Kluyveromyces lactis: one gene and its partners. The protein of the gene in region 1 purifies or fractionates together with the protein of each later gene. This does not show direct contact. Links are inferred from orthologs where the notes say so. Each region holds a gene or a part of one and is shown in the gene's direction. Other genes may lie near its edges.

Evidence for each region.
Region 2: the proteins of YRA1 (region 1) and THO2 purify together in Saccharomyces cerevisiae (affinity purification with mass spectrometry; 4 studies listed by BioGRID, with this or other methods). This does not show direct contact. The link is inferred for Kluyveromyces lactis from reciprocal best matches to the Saccharomyces cerevisiae genes YRA1 and THO2.
Region 3: the proteins of YRA1 (region 1) and MLP2 purify together in Saccharomyces cerevisiae (affinity purification with mass spectrometry; 3 studies listed by BioGRID, with this or other methods). This does not show direct contact. The link is inferred for Kluyveromyces lactis from reciprocal best matches to the Saccharomyces cerevisiae genes YRA1 and MLP1.
Region 4: the proteins of YRA1 (region 1) and KLLA0_D05016g purify together in Saccharomyces cerevisiae (affinity purification with mass spectrometry; 3 studies listed by BioGRID, with this or other methods). This does not show direct contact. The link is inferred for Kluyveromyces lactis from reciprocal best matches to the Saccharomyces cerevisiae genes YRA1 and HRB1.

Annotation. Positions count from the first base shown.
Region 1 is NC_006041.1:255,163-259,464, forward strand, and holds YRA1 (RNA-binding protein YRA1), read left to right. Parts: upstream 1-1,796; coding exon 1,797-2,051; intron 2,052-3,287; coding exon 3,288-3,701; downstream 3,702-4,302. Other genes in the region: AFI1 (Afi1p), read right to left, coding at 1-955; COI1 (Coi1p), read right to left, coding at 4,134-4,302. UniProt on the Saccharomyces cerevisiae protein: RNA-binding RNA annealing protein. May have a role in pre-mRNA metabolism. Component the TREX complex, which operates in coupling transcription elongation to mRNA export.
Region 2 is NC_006037.1:1,000,507-1,005,117, reverse strand, and holds the start of THO2 (Tho2p), read left to right. Parts: upstream 1-1,637; coding exon 1,638-4,611. Other genes in the region: KLLA0_A11616g (uncharacterized protein), read left to right, coding at 222-863; U2 snRNP complex subunit YSF3, read right to left, coding at 1,003-1,263, 1,340-1,342. UniProt on the Saccharomyces cerevisiae protein: Component the THO subcomplex of the TREX complex, which operates in coupling transcription elongation to mRNA export. The THO complex is recruited to transcribed genes and moves along the gene with the elongating polymerase during transcription.
Region 3 is NC_006037.1:55,577-60,121, reverse strand, and holds the start of MLP2 (Mlp2p), read left to right. Parts: upstream 1-1,571; coding exon 1,572-4,545. Other genes in the region: RPL40A (ubiquitin-60S ribosomal protein L40 fusion protein), read right to left, coding at 17-395, 935-942. UniProt on the Saccharomyces cerevisiae protein: Together with the closely related MLP2, involved in the structural and functional organization of perinuclear chromatin. Together with MLP2, associates with the nuclear pore complex and form filamentous structures along the nuclear periphery.
Region 4 is NC_006040.1:430,918-434,923, reverse strand, and holds KLLA0_D05016g (uncharacterized protein), read left to right. Parts: upstream 1-1,570; coding exon 1,571-1,582; intron 1,583-2,012; coding exon 2,013-3,332; downstream 3,333-4,006. Other genes in the region: KLLA0_D05038g (Zn(II)2Cys6 transcription factor), read right to left, coding at 1-1,271; BUD3 (Bud3p), read right to left, coding at 3,443-4,006. UniProt on the Saccharomyces cerevisiae protein: Binds to intron-containing transcripts and is involved in quality control for the export of spliced mRNAs from the nucleus. Binds to pre-mRNAs until splicing is completed or until faulty mRNAs are degraded.

The DNA of each region.
Region 1 (4,302 bases):
TATCTATTTTTATGGCATCATATTTTATTAGATCAATTTGCAAAGGAATCCTCGTAAAATAAGCAGGTAGAACTTTGGGACGGAAAGTAGAGAACTTATATTCAAGAATCCTGTTTTTAAATTGAATCTCATTTCCGAACTTGTCTTTTTTGGGCAGCTCATTAACCCTAAGTATATTGGGCAAAGAGTTTTCGTTTGCATCAAATATTTTGGATGTAATTTCTTCGTCATTGATAGAGTTTAGAATATTTTGTAGTACAACATTGGAATGGAATCTTATGACCAAAGAGAGATCAAGACTGTTAATCATGTCAAAACAGTCTATAAGTATTTTAATATCGTTGTTATTCGATGTCATGTAGTGATCAAGCACCATTGTTAACAATGGTTTAAATGTGTAAAAGTTTGTCATAGTAGTACCCAGTGCAATGGCTTTTATATAAGCACCGCGATCATTTGAATTATCTAAAAACGTGTTCACGACACTTAAGAAAAATAATGGTGGCTCAGTTTCCTCTAAATGCCTATCATCTCTAATTGATCCAATCTTACCACTTCGCAGTCCATTTTCTTGTTCTTCTTCAAAGTCTTCCTCTTCAATTATCAGTGAGGAATCCAAGTCAGTACCTTTAGTCTTATTTTTGGATACAGGAAACAACTGGTAAACGTTTTGATTCTTGTATAAGACAAAAACAGTGAAATCTGGTTTACCTGGATGGTTCTCCACACTATTCGGTATCATCAAACTGGCCAAATGAGAACAAGTGGAATCACTCCCAATAGTTTTAAAACCAGGGATTGTCTTTGGATATTGATGCTTTATTATCGGCCCAGATTTGTTATCAAATTCTGCCGCTATTATAAATTGAACATTGGGGTTAGAGTGTGTGTGTTCATTTTGAGATTGTCGTAGGTGAAAGTTCAATCCTGTTTTTACCTTGGAAGAGTGTTTCATAACTGGTGAACGCGCGGTCTTTCCTCTTTAATTACAGAGTCAGTCCGTTTACCACCTGACCGTCGTTCGGAGATTTAACTTGCCAGTGAGACGTCTGTATCATTTCGCTGTAAAATAGCACGATTTTGACCCATCATCGTCTTTCTTTTTGAACCGATCAAATAAAATGAACCAAATAATATCGCTAACAGTGAAATAATCATGAAATTACCCGGACTGTAAATGGATTCAATTCGGCTTCTATTCGCTTATGACAGGAAGGCATAGAAGAATGTTTGGATACTAAGCGTTGTAAGATTCCCGCCACAGCCTACTTGGGTCTATCTGCGGAAGCGATCCATTTGAACATAAGATTGATCGAATAGCTGTCTATCTTATATATCAACGGATTTTACTTTTCAGTTGTTGCGGCCTTACAATTCACGAAATAAAGCTAAACGATGTTTGTTGGAAACAAATGAGTCCCCTCGACGAAATTATGGAGCATTATCTTTAGTCTTTGAAATGACTGTTATTCACAAAAATCTTTATCATGTCAGGAATGAAGTAAGTACACCGTTACATATGCAGCAGATCTTAGAAAATGACAATCGTTACCCTCTTTTGTTGATCGTGCTGGTTTTGATTTTCTTGAAAAGAATTGGACAAAAAGTTTGATATTTGATTTTTTTTGTATAAAAGGAGCCATAGATTTTTGCCCATTGGAATTTTTTTCCCTTTTTCCATGAAAGTTGTTCTTCAAATTTCTCTTTGTTTCTACTTCATAAGGCAAGCAACTTTATAAGTTATTTCCTTCGAATCAGCTACCCATCAGATTCTTTTTTTTACACTCTCATAAGCAATGTCTGCTCTAGATCAATCATTAGATGAAATTATTGGCTCAGCCAAGCATGCCAGAAGAAACAACAAGGCCGGGCCAAAGAAGGTTTCTAAGCAAGTCAACAAGAGCCGTACCAGAACAGGTGCCGGTCCTTCTAGAGTTCCAAAGAAGGCTGCTTCTGCTGCTGCCCTAGTGCCAGCTTTGCTAAGAGCTCCTATTTCTACTAGAGTTAATGTCGAGGGTTTGCCAAGAGACATTAACCAAGACGCTGTTAAAGTATGTCCCATTTTAGCCATGGCCTCTTAGTAGGTTCTTTTCTAATGAAAAGGACTGTCGAGATGCTACTGTACTGATTGCGAAAACAAATCGGATCAAACTGCAATAAGACTTGCGGTTAATTTAAGTTTACAACGGATATATCCTGTGGAATTCCATCCTTATGTTTACTATACGATCATACATTCCCGTGTATTTGATTAAGAAGAAACGGTCGATCGATACCTTTTTTGAGGTCTGATATTGATGTGTGAATAATTTATTTCAGAGTTAGTTTTTATTGAGCTAATGAAATATAACAAAACGAAATTAGCTATCCAATTGGCTGGGTTTCGCTTTTCAGCAAGCCTTCCTTTGTGATTTCTTTCCGTTTTTCTCCTCTAAGTTGACAGAACTTTTCATCAAAATTATGCACTGAACTTCGTTTATTTACGACATTTTATTTGATGGAGAAACGGTAGTGAATCACGATTGGGAAATGCCGAAAAGATGAAGTATATCTATTTTTTCTCGTCATATCTTCTATTCTTGTGACATTATGTGTCACTGGAGTTTCTGTTACCATTTATTACATTTGGCAATGCATCTATTTTTTAATGATGCCCAGTGTATTATTCTCTTTTTTCTAACTCTTTGCAAAGAACTGGGAATTTGAAGAAGATTACTTGGTGTACACCTTGTAGGAACAATTAAGTTTGACCTCTTCCTTGGTGTGTGTTTAGCTTGATGCCTCAATCTTCAAGATAGTGCGACATTTTTAGCAAGGTCGTCGTGTTTGACAACTTCAAAAAAATTGGCAAAAATTGAAACGCCACTGAAAAGCAAGTTTCAATGAATGTAATAAATCGAGATGGGTATGCTGGATTTGAAATCGATTTTCATTTGTCATTCTGCTATGAACATGTTCTATCTTGTCTGGTTGAGATCTCATCACTGACTCCAGATTTACTCTCCAAGAAAAAAAATAGAAAAGAGAAAAGTTATAGTATACTTACTTTTTGTTGGTTGTCATGTTAGATCCTACCTTCAAATCGAAACCTAATGAAACCCATTTGTGGTATATTTTACTGTTTAAGAGTTAACTTCATATCGTGACAGAATTGACCGGGTCGTACATGTATGATGAATTGTAAACATGAATGATTTCCTACAGGACTATTCATTGAAGACTCCGCTGTTTTCAGTTATCTATGAATAGTTTCACTAACAAAAATTTTGCTCCCTTATTATTACTAGGAATTTTTCAACCATCAAGTCGGTGGTGTCCAAAAAGCTTTGTTGAGTTACAACGAAAGGGGTAACTCCACTGGTATGGCCACTATTACCTTTAAGAACGCAGAACAAGCTAACTTAGCTGTAAAGAAATTCCACAACGCACCAATTGATGGTGGTAAATCCAAATTGAGATTGACGTTGATTGTCGATCCAAGCAGAAAGACATTATTGGACAGAATCCGCCCTGTACAGAATGCTCAGGCTGCCGCGCCAAACAAGAAGGCAGCTCCAACAAAGCCTCAACCTAAGAAGAAACCAGCCGGTCCAAACAAGAAAGCCATTGCTGCTAAGCAAAAGAAAAGAGCTAAGCCAGAAAAGAAGTCTTTGGAAGACTTAGACAAGGAAATGGCTGACTATTTTGAAGAATCCAAATAAGATATTGCGTTCTTGAAATTACTGGACTGAGAAATTATAAAGTCTTCCTTAATAACGAACGGATTGTCTCTGCTTTCGAATCTATTCGTTAGACATCCTAGAAGTTCAGTTCATTTGTTGTTTGTTTTATATTCCTCAATTTCAACCGGTGTGACTGCGTGGTTTCTCAATCAAAAAAATCCGTATCTTTCTTATGTGCTCGGCCTATCTTTTCTTACCTAGCTAAACTTTATTATAATATTGATATCAATAGTTTGTATTTTATTTCACTTTCTTTAAGCACTATTTACATGAGGAATCTTTCAGTAAAGAACAGGATATATTTCTAGATTGTTTCATTTAGTCATTGCAGTGTTTGTGTGTGTTGTTAATAAATAAGTGTGATGGGTAGGTTCGTGTATTGCCTTGCAGAATTAAAATCTTGCTTATTAATCATTCGTTACTTCTTCTATCCAAGAACCCTAATCTATCACCACGCTTTCTTGTATTGTAGGATAAACCGGCCCCTTCAAATTCACTTTTCCTTTTTATTTCCGTGGTTTCTTCTTCTTTCTTCATGGGGAACCCTGGTTTCACCAGAGCAGGGTTTGCGTAATAAGAA
Region 2 (4,611 bases), on another chromosome or scaffold:
TCTGATGAACATGTAAAAGTGACCATTGAGAACAAAGTTGACGAAAAACTCTGGAATGGTAGGTTAAGATGTTAACTTATGTTACGAAAGGAAACATCAGGTTACTATACGACTGTGGTACTCTGTTTCATTTTTCTTACGATTCAGGAAATTAGTACGGTCTTACTTTTTCTGGTTAAGATAGCAAAGGAGAATTCTGTTGTGTGTCCTTTATTGTAAATATGGCATCGCAGCATCGGAATGGTAATTCGAAGTCCAGGAATGGGGGAGGAAAAGGTGTAGGGAAAGGTTCTAACTCGTTGTTTGGGCGTGTTGGAAATTCTAGTGGCCAAAATCCCGTATTACAGAAGAAGCAGACTTTGGAAAGGGCAGAGAAAGCAAAGGCAGAAAAGGCCAAAGCAAAGACTGGATTGACATTTCTTGGTGGTAAACTTGTGTTAGCTGCTGATTTGCAGGGCAATAAAATGAAAGCCAGCTCAGATAAGAATAAGCAACAAATTCAATCGAACAAACGTGTCAATTTGCTTCATAATTTGAAGAATAGAGCTAGATCTAAGCAACGAAACAATAGTGATAACAGTAATAATAAGAAGTTGGTTATTTCATTGAAAGAGAGTTTGAAATGTTTAAAGATACGAAATTTGCCGATAGGAACGAACCCTTCTAATTTACAAAGAGTGTTACAACAGATGGGCAACTGCAAAGTTACAGACTTGAAAGTTATCGATCTTCCTACTGGTTCAGCCCACGCTGAGGTGTTTGCTTCCAACATGGATTTAGAAACGTTACACAAGAGGTTCAACCAGGCCGAAATTGATGGCAGAAGAATCTTAACAGAGATTTCTTCGCAGCCAGAACTTTAATTAAATATATTACAATCTCTGAAAGCGTTTTCGATAGCTTTTTAACTTCGATACACCTAACATAAAATACACGTTAAATACCGCATGTACCAACAACAAAAATATTGCAAATACACTTGTGTAATATCTATAATAATCATTAATCGTTTCCAATATCCCTTTTGATTGGTTTTGGCGGGTTTGCAAGTTTTCGTAACAGTGTTAGTTGGGCATCCCGTTTGGAAGGGAATCCTGACGCCAATGTGTAATACTCTAAAAGGTTCTGATGAATAGCCAAGCTGGCATATGTGTCCTTGCTTATCGTATTAGACCACTCTTCCTTTGTTGTTCTAGCACTCCCTACCCCTGGATGTTTCTTCCGCATATCTTCATATATCAGTTCCTCTTTCACTTTGTTACTCTGCAGTTAAGTCAGTAGTTAGTATCATTGGTCAGCATAGGATATTACACATAAATTGGAAAAAAAAAGTACATACCATTGTTTATAACTTCCTATTGTTCTCACTGATACCATTAACTTAGTCAAATACCTAGTATACTGACTGCTGTGACTCTTTTCATCCCTGTTTGAGATATCAACTCTATTCAAGTTACCATTCTCACCATGCCGACATTTTTCAAATATCGAATTTGAATATGTTAAAAATCTGTGAAAGATATAACACATACATTGCGCAACATCAACCTCATGATTGTAGCGTCCTGGTGACGGAAGAGCAATAGGGGTATTTGCATTTGCCAATTGAATTAGGCACACGGTAAATTGTTTTCATCATGGCATTGTACGACTGTTTGAATAATTTGGCTTCCAATCTTCCAAATGATGAACAAGTTACTTATTTTGACAAGACGTTTTTCGATGAACCAAGTCGTGGTGTAGAAACAATCATATCACAGTACCTTTCCTTAGATGCCAGTTCTCAGAAATCTGATTATGTGTATGATTTGTTTCTGGAAGCTTTTTCCTTAATCAATGGGAAATCTGATGAATCGGAGTTTTTAAATTTGGATGCTATCAGCAAAATAGTTAGTGCGTTATGCAACGAGGATAGATATAACTTCGAGCTATTTGTTTCGTTAGCGAATTCATACCCTTGGGAGGCGAACAATGGGTTTAATGATTTAGTTGGGTGTGCCAAGGATCTTCAGTTAGAGGTGTGTATTTATTTGAACGACCAAATTCTTTCAAAGGGTACAGAAAGATGGTCCAAAGATTTTTGGTCCGCATTCAAAAAGAGCATCGTTCCCGAGTTCTTCCTTTTGCAAAAACCAAATTTATTCCTAGAATGCTCTACTGGTTTCAGTCAACTGATAACGTTGTTGAATATCGCTTTTGAAGATGTTGACAAATTCCAATCTGTTCAATATTACAGTAAACAGTTGAAATATATTATGGGGAAATATAAGCTAGACCCAATCAGGTGCATGGATATACTATTACAAGTGTCTTCATATCATGTCGTACACCATTTTGAGTTTATTCTTGAGCTTTTGCAATCTACAGACTACTGGCCATCTTCGAATTTGGCCAACTGCTCACGGTATGAACAATTGAACCAAGGTGGTAATCCGATAGCTACCAGGTTGATAGTAAATTACCTTAATAATGGTAAACCAGATGCAAATTACATCGATTTAGTGGTTCATCTAATTAAAGGCGGGTTTGTCTCTTTTGCTGCTATATTCGATTGCCTGACCCCGTACGATACTGACATTGATGAGTTTGTAGAGAGGAAGCTGACGACATTGGAAAAGGAATCCTTGGAGGGATCTCTTAATCCGTTAGCTATGGCCTCCGTCCTTACTGACGAAGACAATACCATTTCGAAAAATACGGAAGGTGATAAAACCAATACAGCGGCAGATACTGGGATATCGGAGAAGGAAAAAGAAGCACTACTTCGAGAAACTGTTGAAAAATCACCAAAATGGAAACTAGTAGAGAGGTTACTTGTCAATGGGCACTTTGTTCCAGGATTGTATGCTCTATTCAAATATCCTCGGTTCTTTGCCGTGAACGATAGTCTCGTGAAATCTCTTCTCGAGGTGTTTGACAACATGATCGAACCCTTGACTGTAAAGTTGAGCCCTTCAGCTATTTCAGAACATTGTCGACCTCTTTTGAAGTTATCTCACAATGGAATTCCTACTAAACAAGATCGGTTGATCAGGCAATATAGGTCTTTGGGGAAAGACTACAAATACATTCAAGGGACAGAATTTGTATTTTACAATAAAGACTGGCGACAGAATTTGACTCCAATTGAAACGATAGAGAATCTCGTTCATTATTCACATCTAATATTTGAAAGCATCGGTCCACGTATTATTCTTAATGCTAAACTTGTTGAACATATATGCGCCATAGCTGAAAAAAATATTCTAGATAACCTAGAAGATGAAACGGTTATGGATTTATGGATTAATTACTGCAGAAAGTTTATGCTACCAGTATTAGGACTAGTCGAAGATGAGCAGTTTGTTGCAAATGCAATTTATTCGGTTATGAAGCACTTCCCATTCGAAAGAAGATACTTCATGTACCATGAATTAAGTACAAAGATTGCTGAAGACAACATACATGTCAGGTTACAATTTAATAAGTACCAAAAGCGGATAAGGTCACTTTTAAAATCTTTGAGTATTGACAACATTGCATTTAAGTGCAGGGATGTTGCTAACTTCGTGTCCTGCAATCCTCTTTCAACTCTAGACTCTATCCTAAAACAAATAGAAAATTATGATAAAGTCTCTGAACTAATCGTCATAAGTGCCGAATTTTTCTCAGAATTCGCTTACGATGTTTTACAGTATACGTTATTAATTAAGCTCACATCGGAAAGGCCAACTTTACAAGATGATGGTATTACTCCCAAAATGTGGATTAGCAGATTATCTTTGTTCATTGCGGGTCTTGCTAAAGGCTGTTCTAAAATGAGTATGTCCAACATATTCGTGTTTTTGGTCAAAAATCTTTACAAGGATCCATCGCTTACCCTGGCTATTTTGAAGGAGTTAATCTCCCAAGTTGCAGGAATACAAACGTTGTATGATGTAAATTGGAACACTTTGCTAATGATAAGCTCAGGATCCTTTTTAAAACAAATCGGTAGAAATCTTATCTTGGATTTCAGAGATAAGTATTATCAACCTTCAAAAACTATTGTCAATTACTTGTTAGAGCTTAATGCAGTGTCAGAAATGATTATCATGCTCACAAATTTGAATCTTAAGATTCAAACCGATAATAACGTTCATTATAAAATCTTATCAGCGAAATGCGATGAATCCAATGCATTACTTTGGTCATTTATTGAAATGTTAAAGCACATTTTGACTGAAGAACAATTCAAAGCCAATATTCTACCTTTCAACGTTTTAATTGAGAAATATCAATTTCCTGTTGAGTGGGCGTTTGATATCTGGAGGCATTATTTCGATACAAAGCTGGCGAGATCTGAAAATGATGCTGATGAAATCAACGAAATTCTATATGAGACTGATTTCAAAGGCATCAATTTTGAAAATATTGATAAACGTCTATTCATTGATTTCTGGCGGTTATCCTTATATGATATTAGATTAGAAGAAGATTTGTACACGAAGCAGAAAATCATTTACGAAGACAAGAGAAAGGCTGCTAAAGTTTTGAAAGAGAGGCATAGTTTATTAAGCACAATACAGACAGTCAAATTTGATCTATCTCAGCATGCAAGCGTTTTTGAAAAGACAAAGAACATGATTAAAA
Region 3 (4,545 bases), on another chromosome or scaffold:
GTGGTAGCAGAATCGACTATTTTAACTTCTTCTTTGGACGCAATTGGTTGGTGTGACCACACTTTCTCTTTCTACAGTTAGTAGCTCTTGGTGGCAATCTAGCGTAACACTTTCTGCAAACGGACTTTTCACAGTTGTACTTAGAAGCCAAAGCCTTTAAAGATGGTTCAATGATACCACCTCTCAATCTCAAAACCAAGTGCAAAGTGGATTCCTTTTGGATGTTGTAGTCAGACAAGGTTCTACCATCTTCCAATTGCTTACCAGCAAAGATCAATCTTTGTTGGTCTGGTGGGATACCTTCCTTGTCTTGAATCTTAGACTTGACATTGTCAATGGTGTCGGAAGATTCGACTTCCAAAGTGATGGTCTTACCAGTCAAGGTCTTGACGAAACTGTTTTCAAAAAGATATGATTTGTTAGTAAAAGTTTGAAACTCGATCAGAACAAAGTTCTTAAGGCAATCTTATTGGGACGATTCCTAGAATTAGTGAACGTTCAAGTTAATTTTGCTAGATTAGTAAAGCTTAATAAAAAACCAAAAAAAATTCCCTCTGTAGGTATGAATTGTTGTGCATTTGATAGTTAGGAGGTGATAGGTCCCATTAAACTGCTTCCTTGTATCCTTATTCATTCTGCAAAGCGTACTTGCTTTCGTTTGAAGAAATCGTGACATATATCTCACTCAACAGTTTAGACCGCGTACTCACACTCTCCGAAATGAAACGCTCAAGTTCTCACAGGATAGCGACTATCATGATATATGTTACACCAAACACAGTAAATCCTTGTCATTTTCATTAGTTGTTATCCGAGTTCGTCTTGTTGTTTTTTAGCTAATGTGCTTTCGTCCCATTTCAAAGTAGCATAAACCGTCTTGAATCACCAAGAAACCCCAAAATAAGATGCCTTTTGCTTATCATATTGTGCATACATTTGCATTTTTGAATCTTGTCCTTTCCTGATCTTTTTGATAGTAATCAACAACTAAGTACAGCTATCTTAAGTGCGTATGATTAAATGATATAATCCAAAATACTTTGAGTATGAATTCTTGCTTGCTTTCCTCAATCTGGGTTTGGTACATAGAAAGTTGGTGAACCTGAGGAATCGACAACGAGCAAAAACGAAGTGATTTCTGCAATTAGAAAATAAAAATACCGTTTTGAGGAATATATGCATTTTTAATTGTCAAGCCCCGAAATTTATACACCCAGACACACTGTTGAATAGTGCACGGATGTTGTTGCAAACCGTCCCAACTTGGAACGTAGAATTTTACTGGTACCGGTTACCCTGATTGTTAGTTTAGATACGACTTCTGTATTTCGTTCTGCAGTCAGTTCGTGGTATCTGGTCGTTATTTTGAATTTCACCGAATTGGACCTAATATTGAAATTGAACAAAAATTACCTGTCAAGAACAAAGCCTATGTGCATTGTATATGCTCATGTATACCTGCAGAAATTTTTAGTATACTTCTAATTGAATATCATAGCGATTAGCTTGAACACTAGGTAAAAGTAGCGTCTTATAGATTGCTATTCCATTGTTGTGTTGTGGAGTTGAGAATGTCCGTAGAACCCATTGCCTCTAGGGTCGCAGACTTTCTACAAGTCGACCAGCAACTGATACAAGACATTAATAATGATGTTTTAGGTAGGATTGAGGAGAAGTTGGAAGATCTTCGGAAACAAAAATCTGAAAACCTAAGAATAACTGCTACCTTGGATCAATTAAAATCTCAATCAGAGAACAAACTAGAATCATTCAAAATTCACATCTCTCAACTAGCCAAGGCATTGGAAGATGGGAAGGATGAGCGCTTACACTTTGAAGAAGAGAAAAGGCGTCTAATTGAAGGAAATTCACAAGTGACCAAAAGAATCATAGAATTGGAACAAGAAATAGAAGTAGAGAGGCAACAAAAAGAACTTGCTGACGCTTCTAAGCAAGATATTGCAGAGTCACTAAACGAAAAAATTGAAGAACTCAGTTCTACCAAAGCTAAATTGAATGAAGCACAGGGAGCGAATAAGGAACTTAGACAAAAAGTCGTCAATACTGAAACTGAGCTACAAACTCAGCAGGCCTTAGAGCTACGTTCGAAAAGCGAGATTTTAAGGATGGAACAAGAAATCACATTATTGAGAGAAAACAATGACTGGTTGACCAATCAGTTAAATACCAAGACCGTACAACTCAATGAGTTTAGAGAAAGCACAATTAGTGAATTACAAGATTCTCAGTTAAAGGTATCGAATATGGAATCAGAGTTGGAAATAGCTCGAACCAGTAATCAGAAACTAAAACAATCGGTACACAGTTTACATGAACAACTGGAGCAAAAACTTTCCGAGAACAAAGAAATTAAAGATGAGTACAATTTCTCTAAACAAGAGCTTACGAAAGAGATGTCTTTAAAGCAGAGAATGATTGATGCTCTAGAGAAACATATGGAATCATTGAAGAAAGAAATGGATGCTACAAAGAATAACATGGACTCATCATATTTCACCGAAAAAGAAAGAGACGAGCTCATTGAAGAGCTCAATGCGGTCAAATATCGTTTAGACGCATCTGAATCTAACTGCATAAAACTTAAGGAGACAATCGATGAATTAACATCCAACATAAAATTAGAAGACTCCGAAGTTGGTAATACCACTGCGTCTTCAGAAAAATCGGTTTCTGTCATACCTAAGTTATATGGTGATTTGGGAATGCTCAAAAAACAGCTGGTTATTGAGAAAAGACAAAAAGACGAGTTAAAAATGCAAGTGGAAGCATTCGTTGTTGAATTAGAGCATAAAATCCCTGTTCTCAATTCCTTCAAAGAGAGAAGTGAAATGCTTGAAAGAGAGTTAAATGAGGTTACTATTTTGTTAGAGTCAACTGGCAAAGACCGTGATCAAAAGTCGTCACAACTTGATTATTTGAAAGCTACTGTGAAAAGCTATGAGACTCAAATAGCCTCCCTATCTAAGCAACGTGTTGACCTTGCCCATCAGATACAGTACTTACTCGTGAACGAATCTATTAAGTCAGAGGATGGCGGACCATTATCCGCTGAAGAATTGCAATTTGTCAAAAATCTAACCAACTCTCAAGAAATAACAAAGACCTCTGACACTCAAGGCATTATAACCGATCGACTAGTAGAATTTAGATCAGTAGTTGAGTTGCAGCAGAAAAACTCCGAACTTCTTTCTACAATTCGCAATCTTGCTGATGAATTAGAACGCAGGGAAGCTGAAAACAAATCTCAAATCCAGGTATTAGAGGATGAAACGGTGAGAGAGGCAAAAGAAACCATTCTTACACTTCATGATCATGCACAGAACCTTGAAAACCAACTAGTCATTCTATCAAAGGAGAGGGACGCATACAAGGCATTGTCAGTAAATGCTAGCTCTGGCACAAACACACCTAAGGCCATTACTTACCCTTCTCCTGATAATGACGATAAAGTGAAGGATCTCGAAACAAGACTCACCGCTGTCATTCAAGAAGCAGAGAATAATGCCAAGGAATGGTCATCAGAAAACAGCAACCTGCGTAAGAAATTATATGAAATATCACTTAATTTCGAATCTGAGAAAACTTCACGTACTCTTGCAGAAGATAGGTTAAATCTATTACAATCAACTTTAGAGCTTTCCAAACGCCAATGTGAGGAGCTACAAAAAAGATCATCTGATCTACAAGATATTTTAACAAAACAGGACAAACGTACACAGGAGACTGTAGATTCCTTAATCAAAACGAAATCCACTTTGTCATCTATACAATCGGAACTATCCATCTTGAAGTCTGAAAAACAGTTTATGGCAAAGGTTCAAAAGGAACTGAAGGCAGAGAACGAAAGATTTTCCAAAGAAAGTGTCGAATACAAGGTGTTAATTGCGCAACTTCAGACACTCCAACGTGAGAGAGAAATGTTACTCAAGGAAACTCAGAATTCTTATAAGGAAAAGCTTAGAAAATTGGAAATTGAGTTGTCTGGTTCACTCGAACGCCTTGAAGAAATTGAAAAAAACACCACAGGAATTGCTAGCAATAAAGAGCATCAATATAATTGGTTTCAAGAAAAGATTGATAAGTTAACTAGTGAGGCAGCTCAACAGAAAACGACCTTAGAAGAAAAAGAAGCTCAACTTCAGAAAATGCAATCCACTATCAATGAACAATCCGCAAAACTCAAGGAGGCCGAGGCACGGGCACAATCATATACGATGTTAAGTAATGTCGATGATGCTCAAAACCTAGTTGAGACTTTGAGACAGGAATTGGAAAAGGTTAACTTGCAACTTTCTGATTCATATTCACAAATAGAGCATCATAAAACTCTGGCGGAACAGTCCGTGCAATCCGTTAATGAAGTAAGCCAGGCCTTTGAAGAGGCCCAGAAGGAATCTCAGAAGACAATAATCACTCTAGAAAACGAAAGAAATCAATTACAGAGTACTGTCAATATTCTCAACGATCAGGTGAAAGACCTGAATAACGAAATTTTCCATCAAAAATCAGAATACCAAACTGAGA
Region 4 (4,006 bases), on another chromosome or scaffold:
CCCTCTTTCGAATACCCAAGAAATGTGTTATAATTATTCCCTGATATGAATCCCATCTGCTTCATGAGATTGTCGCTCATGGATGAATCACTGGATCCAATATCTAACATCTCCTCCATTTCTGCTTCATTGAAAAAATGGTTACCTTTCGCTACACAAGCAACTATAGCAATGGCACAAAACCAGTTACGTGCTAGTGTTACAGTCCTCCTATGCAAAAGTGTGCTCCCAGTGCTTCCAGTCACCATTTCTCTGTTGTCGTTGTATTTCATAAGTAGATCCTTAGCTCCTCGTAGATGGAATTTCCATTCTTGAGTTCCAAACGTTGAACTATCCAATGTCAACAATAGCACACATAAATTCAAAGAGTCTATCTGTGAAAACCCCAATGATTCTTGGGATAGAGATTCGAATTCTTGGTACAATTGCTGTAGTGCTTTTCTCAAGAAATGTTTCCTAATTATATTATCATGCTCTTTCCCGTAAACATTGTAGACATATTTAGCACTGATTGACACCATCGAACTCTGTAAGTAAGACTTTTCTCGGGCGTGTTTTTTATTTGCTCTTATTACGTGCTGGAATAAGATATGGTTACAAATGTTAGAATCCGGTGATTGTGCTAGCGGCATCAACCAGTATGATACATTGTCATAAAATATCTTCAAATATGATAATTCCGATTTTGATACCTCTCCTAACATTCCTTCGATCTCTTCCCATCTGTTGAACACGGGCCCGCCTATGTCATCATTGATAGAACTGATACTTTTCTGTTGGCCTTGGTTTGCGGTCACGGCGTCTGTTTCGGGCAGCTTGGAGAATAAATCATTAGCAAAGAGAAGCGCATCGTTCAATAGCGCATTCAAATCATCTTCGTCATTACCAATCGCATTGGTTGCAGCATGCTCAAAATCCACGTCACGTTCATTGTTCGAGAGTTTTCTAGTATCAGATGATGAATGATGTTCCATGTTTTTCCTATGCAGATCGCCATCTTCCTTATTCTTTCTCTTTTTATCCGAGACTGAGGTCACTTTAGAGTTTACTCGAGATTTATTGGGTCCCCCAGAAACAACAAATTGAAACTCTTTGGTCTTATAAACACATTCAAGAGACAAATGCGTGCACTGCCAACACATAGGCTTCGTCTCATCACATTTAACCTTCTTTCTCTTACATTCAAGGCATCCATTTTTGGAATACTTCCTCTTCTTCTTGGCAGGTTCGGTCACATTAGAGACTGCAGTGTCCGGAGTAGTGTCTGCCATCTCAATAATATATTATATTATACCAACACCAACCACCTGGACGTAATATGCCCTTTTACAGGTCTTATACTCTCCCTTCTTGCCACGCTTTAACTTGCATTGAGTCACATGACATGCGGCATTCTTTATATCATGCACGTCTCTTTTTATTCATTAACACATCTAAACCTCGAAAAAAATTCAGAAGGAATTAAATCTGTGAAAACATTCAGCACTGAAAAGAACTTCGTTATGACATTGCTAAACGTCGTGAAATAATTTCAAGACTGCTGCTAGACGGTTGTGGCTGGTAGTTAAATATGAGTTCATACGTATGTTGTATTTTTGAAAAGGAATTGGTGTGAAATGGCTGTTTAGACTGCTACACAATGATCATACCATATCTATAGTATTATCACCGACAGTTGTTGCTCAATGAATTATCAAAGAACAGATATCCAAGCTGGTAAGGTTTATTGATATTATGCATCTATTGACACTGGGTATGCGATGGTTTAATTCTGCTTGTTTTTTGGCTAAGATTGTGGCAGGTGTCGCTATTATAAGTGCTTTTAGTTTCCAGTATACCTAAGGAAAACTACTGCGCAGGAAACATACTAGTCATTGGCTGTAATACATCTTTGCTGCAAATCTAAAGATTAGTTCATTTCTAGGCTTCTGCTTCAAGCGTTAACATGTGATACTAACTGGTTACTATATGAGTTGCCATTAATTACTTTTTTCTGGCCTTTATTAATATAGTCAAGAGAGAGATCGAGATCTAGATCACCTGTAGCAAGATCAGGAAACGAAGATCCACGCAGAGGCGGTTATCCTGATCGTAGCTATAGGGATGATAGAAGAGGAAACTACAGCGGAGATAACAGAAGATCTGAAGGATATAACAGGGACACTTATTCAAGAGATAGGGACGGAGACAGATATTCGGGTGGAAGATCTGTAAATCGTGGATACCGTTCTGTTGGAAGGGACAATGGGTACGAGAATCAAGGTTATAACAGTGGTAGATATGGCCGTGGTAGATCCTCGAGATATGATCGAGGAGGAGCTGCTACTGCTGCTGCTGCCGCCGCTAAAGGAGACTATGGACCGAAATTAGCGAGAGAGCTCGATTCTCCATATGATGAAAAAGTAAACAGAAACTATGCCAACAGTATCTTCATCGGTAACCTTACATATAATACTACACCAGAGGATTTGAAGGAATATTTTGGTAAGATCGGTGAAGTTCGCAGAGCAGATATTATTACTTCTAGAGGTCATCACAGGGGCATGGGTACTGTGGAATTCAATAACAGTACTGACGTCGATACGGCCATTAGAGATTGTGATGGTGCCTTTTTGAACGGACGTGCCATTTTTGTCAGGCAAGATAATCCACCTCCTGCTGAAATCTCGAGAACTGGAAATAATAACGGCCCACCGCCTCCTCCAAAACGTGCTCACGATGAAGGTTTCGAAGTTTTCGTGGCACAGCTACCATTCTCTGTTAATTGGCAAGAATTAAAAGATATGTTCAAACCGTGCGGTGATGTTTTGCATGCTGATGTTGTCACTGATCGTGACGGTAAGTCAAGAGGTTTTGGTACGGTCTATATGGCTACCAAAGAACAACAAAATGATGCTATTCGTCATTGGACTGGTACAGAGTATAAGGGCCGTGTATTAGATGTTAAAGAAGGTAAAGGAACTTCTACACGTACTGCAGCCACTGGTGCCGATACTTACATCCCTCGTCAACCACGTAATGAACCACCAGCAACTCTTAAACCAAAACCACTAGATATCGATCCTCTGGCTATAACTACGGGTGGTGATAGAAACTCTGTAATCTTCTGCGAAAATATGCCATCTTCTACCACTGAATCTGATTTATATGACCTATTTGGCAGTGTTGCACCGGTTATAATAACGAAATTACTGTTGAATCCTGAAGGTCATTTCACAAGGAACTCATATTGTCAATTTGAAACACCAGAGGACGCAGATATATGTATCAGCAAATTGGACAAATACTCCTATGGAGATCATGAGTTAAAGGTGACTTATGCCAGATTCTAATTCTAACTTCTAAATAATCATGTTTTATATTTTGATATCTAGCGGGCATTACTTGAGGTAATATCACTAATTAATAACCTATTCAAACTTCTACGTTTTCTCCATAGGGACTAAGCGCTGAACTGCAATCGCGTTGGTTTTGTTTCATCATCTTCTGCTAAAACGCCACCTAAGTAGTCATAGGAAGAATCTCTTAGGAAAGAGGGTTCATCATGTTTGCCGTTGTTTTCGTCGGTCAAAGCACCGAAAGCAGCAGCCTTAGGAGCAGCTTTTTTTGAAGCTGGTGGTTGTAAACTCTTGAAAAATGTGTCTGATTTATTACTGATGTCAAACATATCCAATTTGCTTGGAGAAACCCAGATTGGCTCATCGTCGTTTTCAACTGCTGTTGGGTGTACTTTATCGTGAGCTGAAAAAAAGGATTCGTTGGATTTGGTGAAATTGTCGAATTTGTAGAATACAGGCTCTGCTACCTTCCGAGGTAGAACATTTTTATTTTCAAAAACATCGCCAGTATCCATAGTAGACTCTCTAGTGGAAGTGTTATTGGTATTGTCAAATGACATGTGGAAGAAACTGAACTCTAAATCATCTAATAATGGTGCAGGTTCATCTTGGCTATTGGTCGTTTCCGTCGGTAATTTTATGGTTGATTCTGGTGGAACTAAGTGATC